Linked DNA regions of Caenorhabditis elegans. The protein of the gene in region 1 purifies or fractionates together with the protein of each later gene. This does not show direct contact. Each region holds a gene or a part of one and is shown on either strand. Other genes may lie near its edges.

Region 1 (3,406 bases):
CTTTGGAAAGCGGAATCCAAAAAATGAATATTATGCAAACGGAATGAAAGTCACCAAAAAGGACTCAGTGAAAGACCTTGGAATCTTCGTCGACGACAAGCTGAACTTCCAGAAGCACATAAACATCATTTCGAACTTAGCCCTTCTCAAATGCCGGCAGTTACTTCGATCCTTCCGCTCAACAAATGCCAGCCTTTACTTCAAATTGTACAATATCTATGTGCAGCCAATATTAAACTACGGATGTGAAATCTACAACCCGATCTCTAAAAATATGATTAAACAACTGGAGTTCCCACTGAAGTTTTTCTCGAGAAAAGTCTTCCAACGCTGCAATCTATCATACTCATCATATGAAAACCGTCTAGCTCAGATGAACCAAAAGTCAGTTCAACACCTGCGGATTCTTCAAATATTGAGGACCTATCACAACATCCTGTCTGGTGAATACCACTTTCCGAATGCCGCATCAACTGTGAGGAAGGCTCGCTCGCCCAGATATCCGTACATGATGTGCCCTTGTGGATCAATCAACGAAAGCTTCCTACTAGTCAATCTTCACCTATGGAACCGTATGTCCAAGTTACTTCCGGGGACAATGAGCCGTCAAATGTTTGCATCACGATTAAATTCTATCCCGTTTAATTATTTTTCCCACACAACTTGATCCCCTTAACTACTTTTGGTTTACAGGATCATTCAAATTATTCAAGTCTGTTTCTCCCGGTGATTATTCTATACTTTCTGTTTTGTTACGACGATTTGAATAAATATATATATATATATATATTCAATGCTTCGAGAGAATAAATGGGAATCTGAACGAGAAACTAAGATTTCTTATATCACATTAGTATATCACAATATTTAAAACTACATTATTTCTTGAAAAAATTATTCACAGCGTTTTTGAGTTTGAAGTTTTTCGATTAATGGTTAATTTCATGATTGACCAGAACACATCGTTTTATCAGAATCCTCAAAATCCTCATCGAAGTCGGAATCCTCGGATGTATCGGAATCCGAATCATATGGATCAAATGTTTCCTCTTTCTGCATTTTTTCATAATTTTCGTCCAATTCATTCACAGAACTCCCCCAATTTGCTTCATTATTACTGATCGAAGACACAGATTCCTGGAAAAATTCCAGACTTGACATATATTCTAAACAAGTTTTGTCAAATACCTGAGGTTGGTCTTCCTTGAAATCTTCGAACATCGTTCCGGTGGATTCTGCCAACTCATCGGGCACCCAGATCACTTTCTTGCACTCGTCCGTTTCACAATTCTCCATAGTTTCAACAGTAACCTATTAAATGTTAGCTTTGTAGGAAATATAAAATAAAATGAATCACCTGATACACATTGTTCTTTGCATTTCCTTTCAGCACCCACGAGATGTCTTGTCCGTCGTCTTTGCCAATTCCTGTTGCATAACGCTTGAACTCAAACAAGCTAAAAATTACCACTTTTTGAAATATTGGAACTTCTGAATGCTTACCTAAGCCGTTTATGGATTTTCAAGATCCACAATGGGCGAGGACGATCATTTTTCTTATGGCTCACCATTGTTGAATAAAGTCGAGGATCGAGTGAAACGGGAAATTGAGAAAGACAAAATGAAAAATAAATTTTCGCGCATCTTGGAGAGGTCAAAAATTCTAATTTTCGTCCTGACTTGCTCGTTTTAATAATTTCTATAATTTGAAAACAATTAATTTTTTACTAATTCAATGTATTATTTTTCTTTAGTTTTGCCTTTTAAAGCCGAGAAAATAAAGTCAACGTTTTTGCGAATAAAAAACAAAAAAAAAACAGGAATTTGTTTCTCAATGGGTTTCACCACGATTAGCCTTCGTCTGTGCAAAAAAACTACGGTAGTTGGAAAAAGTTTTTCGACATTTTATTTTACTGGATCCAGCTGGAGTTTTCAACCACTTTTTACGGGATTTTTGATTTGTTTCTCGTTTTTAAAAACTATCGTTTGAACAGTTTATGAATCTGCTTTCTAATTTCTAATTTTGAGCTTTTTATTCAGATGGCTTCACGTGTTAACATCGTTCAAGTCCAAATTCTCGATAATCCAGCGATGTTTGTCGACAAGTTCAAAATGGAGATCACTTTTGAAGTTTTTGAGCACTTACCACATGGTATGTATATTATTTACACTGCATAAAAATTAAGAATAATCAGATCTCGAATGGGAATTGGTGTACGTTGGATCTGGAACCTCCCGAGACTTCGACCAAGTTCTCGATTCCGCGCTCGTTGGCCCGATTCCTGAAGGACGTCACAAGTTTGTCTTTGATGCAGAACACCCGGATATCTCAAAGATTCCAGTCGAGGATATTGTTGGTGTCAGTGTGCTTCTCCTTCGTTGCAAGTACAACGATCAGGAGTTCATCAATATGGGATGGTTTGTGGCAAATGAGTACACCGACGAAGAGCTCAAAGAGAATCCGCCTGCAAAGCCGCTCATCGAAAAGGTTCTGTTCTTTTCAGGAAAAAAACACTTTATTTCAAAAGTCATTCACACAAAATTATTTTTGATAAATCAAGCACCAGTTATTGTCTAATGACAGTCCATTCCTGATCGTCAGAACGGTTTTCGTCGAGTCCAATAAAGCCCTCCACCTTACTTCCAACGAAGACGATTGCTCCGGCAATTATAAAACTTGCATAAACAATTCCTCCGATAGCTTTGTCGAAAATGTATGTAGCGCCTCTGTAGTTGCTATTTTTGGTCGCTACACTAGCATGAGTTGAATTATTTTGCGCTGCAGTAGCTTTCATTTTCACAATCTGAAGGAAATAAATAAATATTATTAAACGAGCAATGAAACTAATGAAATAATTAAAAATAAAGAACGAAAAATAGTTGAGAGTGAGACAATGACAATGAGAGAACTGAATACGTTGTGCACGCTACCTGTCGAGCAGATGGACATCATCGATCGGGCTCACGCACACAGATGTACTGTATGGGATGACGTAATAAACCATCTGTTGTGGAAAGAGGGAAAAAGTGAAATGCTCTAAATTAATCTCAAAGTTCCTTCAGTTAAAAAATGTAGATAATTCAGTTTTGACCTTGAATTTTCAAAAATTTTCAGCTTTCCCGTAAAATCGAAACCGAAGATCTTCGCGTCACCACATTCCCAATTCGGTGGACTGATGAGGATCCAGTCGCCGAGCCGGTTGATGAAGAGGCAAACAAAGTATTCGATGAGGATGATCTTATGCCATTGCATGATGATGGGCAGGATGATGACGAGGAGGAAGAGGTGGGTAGAATCTAGCATTATCTGAATATAATAATTTACTGTTATTCAGGACGATGATGAGACGGGTCCCAATACTGAAGAAGTTGACTTGAACGAGAGCTTCAACGAACGAATGGCGAA
Region 2 (7,413 bases), on another chromosome or scaffold:
TGGTCACAAGAAAAATGTACTGCCAAAATTTAGCAATCGATCCTTAAACGACGTTTTTCGGCATGCTTCTTTTTGCATTTAGCATTCGAAATGTTCATCAAGCTGTAAAATTACGGTACTTGGTCTCGAAACGAGAAATGTTTCCCAACTGCGACAATGCTTGCGCCTTTAATGAGTCACTGTAGTTTCAAAGTTTCGTTTCATCGTTCTTTTTAAAGGCGCACTTTTTTATTTAACAAAAACGTGACGTGTCAAGATCCAGTACCGTAGTTTTTTGGTAAAATGTCGCGTCTGGGTATTGCAGGCTCAAAAACAACATTCCTTTTAGATAATACATTCTGACTCACTTTTTTGACCTGTTCCAAACTCGGGGTTAAGAAAGTTTTCTCACAATGAAATAGCATGCACCATGTACTAAATATGAAAAAAAGCGGGAAATGGTATACGGTTGAGTCATAGCTCCAACTTTCCCCCACTTCTCTTCTTTTGAAGCGAGCAATGAAAGAAAACCTGAGTCATCACGAATGTTTGTGATGAGAAGAAAAAACGGGAAATTTAGAAAAACTTCCAAGGTAGGCAAAAATATGAAAATTTATTGGGACTGGAACTGAATTTTACAACAAATGATGAGACCGTAAATCAATAGAGTTAGAGATCATGCAATAAAACGATTTTTCTTGAAAAATTGGAAGAACTTTTCCTAAATACAAAATTTCACAGTGGAAAATACCATAATTATTATCGAGTAGAAAATAGCTCAATTTGGAAGAATCGGAGAAAGAAGTTGATTCATAGCGGGCATTGGTGAATTCACAAGGCGTGGAGATTTCTCTGGCGGAGACGCATTTGACACTGTTTCATCAGAAATTCCACGTTTCTGTGTGTTCGGTTCCATGAGGATAAGACGATTGATGGTATTACGTGCTTGCTCGGACAAGGACTGAAAATTTAATTTTAATAATGAAATTGTTGATTTGAGAGTAAAAACATTCCTATGTTAAATTGTGTTGCGGACTTTTCTTAATTTTTCTCCGGTTTCTCTCAGAAACTGGAGAAAATTTTTTGAAAAATAAAAATGATGAAAACTTATCAAAAATCGAAGAAAACCCCGTAACAACAAGGAGTTAGAAACTACAGTACTGCTTAAAGGCGCACTGCCCTTAATTCAAAAAAGATTGGTCGCTTCGAGACCGGGACCAATACCCGGAAAATTGGGGAAAGTTTGAAAACATAAATTTATAAATTACCTCAATAGCCTTTTCATGGGTAGTGCCTCAAAGCGGCGAAAAGGTGGAAACATTTCTCTCCCCCAAGCTCGCTTGTGCCTGGAGTTGGTCACCAGGTAGGAGAGAAGTAGGCTAAACGACCCAAACTGCCATACGTCCTGATCGGTAGCAGCGTCCAATGCTCCCGTTCTTGACGGCCTCCCCCAGGTCTTGGCGACGTCCGTGCTCCGGCAATCTGGCTTGGCCTAGTAAGTCAGCCCAGTAGGACACCAAAAATTACTAAAAACTCAAAAACCAAAGAAAAAACCGATGGATCTACAACCCGGCAATCAAGTTCACTAGGGCCACGGTCTTCGCCCTTGAGGACTGCCGGGGGCCAACTACGAAAGACCACCAGATCGGAATTAAAGAAGAGCGAATTCCACCTTGGCACATGGAACACCCAATCTCTGCTCGGTCCTAGACTCGCATCAGGGGTTGAATACCTCAAAAATTCCACATGACACGTCGTCAATCTCCAAGAGACGCGCTTCTTCTCCATGCCTTCCATCGATCAACCTGAATACCAACTGCTCTAAAAACCAACAACAAAGACTTGGGACTGGGCTTTTTCGTAAAGAAATGCCATGAACTAGAAGTCATCAACGTCTCGTGGATTGGCGGAGGCATTGCTTCTCTTGAACTGGAATTCAGAAAAGTCAAGATCATGGTTCTCAATGTCTATGCTCCAGTTTGCAAAAGTCGGTCCGAAAACGACGCAAAGCGCTTCTTCGAGAGACTCCGGGCTGAATACTTCCAACTCAGGAAATCTTTCAAAGGACCAATCGTTCTCGGAGGAGACTTCAACGCCGCCACCTCATGCTCTACCAACGATGAACTGGCTCCCTGGATCTGCGGGAACGTCTTCGGAAATTCCAACAACCACGGAGACTTCTTCTTCAATTTCCTTGCATCCACTCGTCTCTTCCAGCTGAACTCAAGATTCCCTAAAAGACTCGCGAAAAGGTGGACATTTGCAGGAAAGAAGGCTGTTGGGAGGACGGAAATCGACTTCTTCATCTCATCCAGGATCGATCTCGTGAAGGATGTCAGCACATTCTCCAATCTCCACAATCTCAGTGATCACCGTCTTATCCGTTCGAGATGGGCTATTTCAGTAAAATCCGAACGCGACCACGCCTTCAAGTCAAGGAGACTGCCATCCACTGGTAAGGAGAGAGACTGTACTCTCTACGAAGACGCCATCAAAGATCTGAGTAATCACGCAACCTTCGGTTCGTACGACTCCTTCGTCAAGACTCTCCGACAAGGATTGGTTCCGCTTCCCGCCCATAAACCGCAAAAATTCAGCCAAAGGACTAACATGATTCTGCAAGAAAGGAGATCAGTCCTTGAATCCTCCGCTCCAGATACTGCCAAGCTCCGTAAACTGTCTCAAGAAGCAAGGAAATCGATAACGGAATATCTCACTCAAAAGTACGACTCGATTCTTGAAGCTTGCCGGAAGAAAATATCTTCAAAAATCTTGAAGAAATCCATCCCTGCCGAAATCCCCTTGCAATATCTCGAAAGGCCTGACGGATCTCTCACGGCCAACCGCATCGAAATCCGAAAAATCGTCGAATCTCACTTCAAGGCACTATACGAGGCTCCCACGAGCTCTCCACGTCAACCACAAATCCTAATCCTCCGAGTCTTGATCCCATCCCAGCCATTCTCAAGAGCGAAGTACGTCTGGAGATCAGAAAACTCAAGACCAAATCTGCTCCAGGTCTCGATAATGTGGATGCGGCGATGCTCAAAAATGGAGGCGACACTGTAGTGGACTCAGTAACTGCTCTGTTCAACAACATCCTCCAACACAACAAGGTCCCTGATCTTTGGAAAATATCGGATGTCAAGCTGATCCCGAAAAAGGCTAAAGCCACTAAGATCAAAGACTTCCGACCAATCTCGCTCCTCCCAATCCTGAGCAAAATGTTCTCGAGCATTCTGACCAGAAGGCTGACACCAACCTTGGAGAGCTACCTGGACGAAAGTCAAAACGGCTTTAGGAAAGGGAGATGCTGTGCTGACAACATTCAAAGCCTCACCATGCTCATCGAAAAGTGCAACGAATTCCAGCTCCCACTCCTTCTTCTTTTCATCGACTACCAGACGGCTTTCGACAAAATCGGACACTCGGCTGTGGTTTCCAGCCTCGAGAAAGCAGGAGCCGATCCCGCCATGCGCAAGATGATTCAGGAAATGATGGATGGAGGACAAGCCGAGATCACAGTGCACGATAAGAAGCTCAAAGTCAACCTCTGCACCGGGGTTCGTCAAGGAGACTCAGCTTCCCCAGCTCTTTTCAGTGCTGCTCTCCAAGCTATTCTGACGGATTGCGACAACGAGTTCGCGGGAGTTGGCATCAATGTGGAAGGTAGACACATAAGAAGACTGGAATTTGCGGATGATGTAGTCCTGATATGCTCCACACCGGGAGAAGTTCAAGAACGACTGGAAATTTTGGACCGAATAAGCTCAAATTACGGACTCAAGATCAATCAGTCAAAGACTGTTCTTCTGAAGAACAAGTTTTGCCGGAGCCAAGACGTCCTTTTCAACGGATCCCCCATCATTCCCGTGCCAGGTTGTCGCTATCTGGGGCGCTGGATCGACATATCTGGCTCAATTGACGAAGAAATCTCGAGGCGAATAAGAGCTGGTTGGGGTGCTCTGGTTGGAATCAAAGAAGTCTTGAGAATCATGCCAAACAAGGAAAGAATAATCCTCTTCAAGCAAAATGTGCTACCAGCTCTCCTGTATGCTAGTGAAACTTGGACTTGTAATGCTGGATCCACGCTGAGACTCAAAAGAACTGTCTCCGGTCTCATCGACGCTGCAGAAATTCGAGGCTGGAACTTCAACTTGGATCGTTACCTCCTTGCAAAACAATCAAGATTTACAGGACACATTCTACGGAGAGATCCAAACCGATGGACAAAAATCTGCACGGAATGGGACCCGAGCCACAACAAAAATTGGAAACGGGCCGTTGGAGGACAGAAGAAAAGATGGGCAAAGGACATCGACGAAGAATACGCAAAATTCCACCATAATTCCGCCATGTCGGGACAAGTCGTCGTTGGGAGAAGAAGACTAGGAATGCTCACACCGAAGGTCCCATGGCTGTCCATCGCACGCACCGACCGTGAAAAATGGAAAGAGTTTGTCCGCAGTTGCCTCGCAACTTGAACCCAACGGACATCAAAGTATCAAAGTAAGTATCAAAAAAGATTGGTCGCTTCGAGACCGGGACCAATACCCGGAAAATTGGGGAAAGTTTGAAAACATAAATTTATAAATTACCTCAATAGCCTTATCAAATACTTTTCTATAATTCCGAGCGAGTTGTTCAATATTAATAGTACTTTCTTTCTTGTCGTCAAAGTACAAAACAATCATGTTTCTGTTGCAAGTCAATCGAAATCCGTCTGATGATGGATATGGATGTTCCGACATAATTCTGAAATAATACACAGAAATTAAATTTTTTTTCCGCGCTGTGTTTACCTTTTTGCTTCACGCAACGTCTTTTGAATAATTTCAGCATTGAATCCAATGTATTGCTTCAATTTAAGCCATTTCTTATGATCCATTTCCGAACTTTTTTTGTTCATTCGATGAATTTTCTTTGTTTTTCCGTGTCGTTGTTCAAACATTTCGGCAGAACTATTCGAATCAACTTCAAAGCATACATAGTATCTCTGATCTACTTCAGAATCATCGTCGGGCATATATCCAAATTTTTGAACGACAATTTTAAGATTTGGAAGGTTGAATCTGAATTATCTTATACACTGTTTTTTTCCAAATGAAAAAACAAGATAAGAAATAAATGTTTTACCCAATATCTCTGAGAACATCCACAACGGTATTGATTACTTGCTCTTCTGAAGCCCGTTTCAGCGTCTCTCCTTCGATTTTCAGATTATCTAACATATAATCTTTCCATGTAGTTGAGGGATGTGGTGGCATCAGAAAAAATTATTTGTCATTAATTTTTGGAATTAGGAAATAATTAAAATATAAAAACTAGAATAGTAGAACACTAGAAATTCACGTGAGCTCGTATAAAAAATTATTTTAATTTCTACATTTTCATTGATAGACCAAAAGTTTGATGATAATTTGTTAGAAAAATGATAAGGTGAAATGGATAAGGACGATAAAAGTCTAGGGGAATCTAGTTCAGTGAAACTGAATTGGTAATTTCTTAATGAAACATGAAATATTCTAGATAAAGTTCCAAAAATTATACAAATAATGGGAAAATACTCAGAAAAGGAAATTTTACACATATTTCAAGAAAAGTGAGGTTAAAATTACAGCGAAATTTGAATTTTAAAAAAGTAGGACCGTAATATTTTTTTGTGGATTTTCACATGTTTTCAGTGGGAAGTTTTTGAGAAGTTTGAATGATTGAAAATTGAATTAAAAGAAACCTGATTAATAAATGGGGAAAAGGCAATTACGGGGAGCTGAAAGATGGGAAGAAGTGAGAAATTATACCAACCAGTGGTCAAAGCATAGGAAAAAACTTAAAGGAGATAAAATATAAAATTACATACAAATTATACAGAAATAGATACAAATCAAATATCATCCATGTCAAAAGTTCCAAAATCGTCAGAATCCTTCGATCGTTCTCGTCCATTCTGAACTTTTTTGTCCTTTTGAGATGATTTTGTGGAAGATGTTGGTAGAGGGGCAGACGCTGGTGGTGTCTTCTTCTTTTTCAAAGATTTGCCGCCAGTGGCTCCAGTGGAAGACGATGATCCAGAACCGTTTCGAGCAAATGGAGTTGACGATTCGGTGTCGAAAAATTCTTCAATAAGATCATCATTTTTTGGAGACTTCTTTTTCGTGCTGTCGTCATCACTTGAAATATCACGCATAGCATCAGCAATTGAGGCAATGTACTGAAATATTGTAGGTAATTGTTTAGTTATTAATTTTGGTTTATAAAAATGTTCCTTTTTACTTAATTCTGAATTTGTTTGTTAATTTTCTAAACTATTTTTCGATCTAAAACCTACATCTCCATTTGTGGCACTACTATATCCACCAATTACTGGTTGATCAGATCCTTGATCGATGCTGTACGAGTTGGCAGATGTGTAACTACCGCATTCAATTCTTGTTGCATCAGCGGGAATAGTTTTCATGGCTGCAAATATAAGGTTGTTTTGATAAAATTCACCCACTAAATCTTCCAACTCACTTATATTCACTGCCTCAGATCCAACAAGGACTGGAATCGACTTGAATGAAGCATTGGATCCTTTATTACCAGGAGACATCAGACTCGGTTGATCATCTTCTCGATATTCAAACAACTCGAACTGTGGTCCTTGCCAAATCCAACGGTGTGGTGGTAGATACGTTCGTGTTTCCACGTGAGGTGTCCAAACATCCTCGTCGCCAATCCTCTTTGCTGGTACAGTCTCTACTGTAGCAAAAGCCATTAGTGGAGAAGCAGAAGGCATTGGGGCATGCATATCTGCATTGTTCTTGGTCCTCTGAAGAATCCAACCACCGACAGGAGCAACACTTATTTGAGGAGAAGCTTCCATGTTAGTTTCACCCTCTTTTCGGAGAGATTTGATATCATGTTGTGTAACAATGACTCCTTGAGCTGGATCAACTTTTGCAATGACTAGAGACATTGACATCAGCATTTTGGTAGTTTTCGCCGTTTTTGTGCTAGTTGTCGAGTTATAACTCTTCATCCTGAACATCACTGACATTCTAGAAACTTCCAAGCGTCGCCTTGCAGCTACTGCAGGTGAAGACGAAGCTTGAGCAGCTGGATAGGAGAAACTTGTCATGTCAGCAGCCCATGCACTTAAATCTTCTTTCGTGTATCGAGAGTCCTTGATTTTCTCAGTAGCGACAAGAAGTAGTGGTGGTGGGAATGGTCCGACTCTGGAGTTCCCATTGGTCTTGGCCAGGGTTGGAGAGTTTACGGCGATTGGATGTTCTTTTGTATAGGAGCAAGAATCAGCCATTGCTCTGTGTTTGCTGGGTCCGATTGATGCAGTAACATCTGCTGCATCGGTTAATCCAGCAGACCTATGAAATCTTGATTCTTTGTTCACAAAAGTATCTCCATGTGTTCTTTGATTAGGTTTTCCTCCAAACG

What was found. Proteins that work in one complex are often made in the same cells at the same time.
Region 2: the proteins of lab-1 (region 1) and lab-2 purify together in Caenorhabditis elegans (affinity purification with mass spectrometry, with the first as the bait; one large-scale study listed by BioGRID). This does not show direct contact.

What each region holds. Positions count from the first base shown.
Region 1 is NC_003279.8:9,656,234-9,659,639, forward strand, and holds lab-1 (Long arms of the bivalent protein 1), read right to left. Parts: upstream 1,791-3,406; 5' UTR 1,572-1,790; coding exon 1,504-1,571; intron 1,458-1,503; coding exon 1,358-1,457; intron 1,312-1,357; coding exon 1,189-1,311; intron 1,138-1,188; coding exon 943-1,137; 3' UTR 779-942; downstream 1-778. Other genes in the region: asfl-1 (putative histone chaperone asf-1-like protein), read left to right, coding at 2,041-2,152, 2,196-2,488, 3,116-3,286, 3,336-3,406; C03D6.9 (Aa_trans domain-containing protein), read right to left, coding at 2,568-2,795. UniProt on the Caenorhabditis elegans protein: Involved in sister chromatid cohesion during mitosis and meiosis.
Region 2 is NC_003281.10:7,324,362-7,331,774, forward strand, and holds lab-2 (Long Arms of the Bivalent protein), read right to left. Parts: upstream 5,247-7,413; coding exon 5,116-5,246; intron 5,052-5,115; coding exon 4,782-5,051; intron 4,735-4,781; coding exon 4,578-4,734; intron 941-4,577; coding exon 758-940; 3' UTR 579-757; downstream 1-578. Other genes in the region: F56C9.10 (BCAS3 WD40 domain-containing protein), read right to left, coding at 5,864-6,190, 6,308-6,438, 6,493-7,413.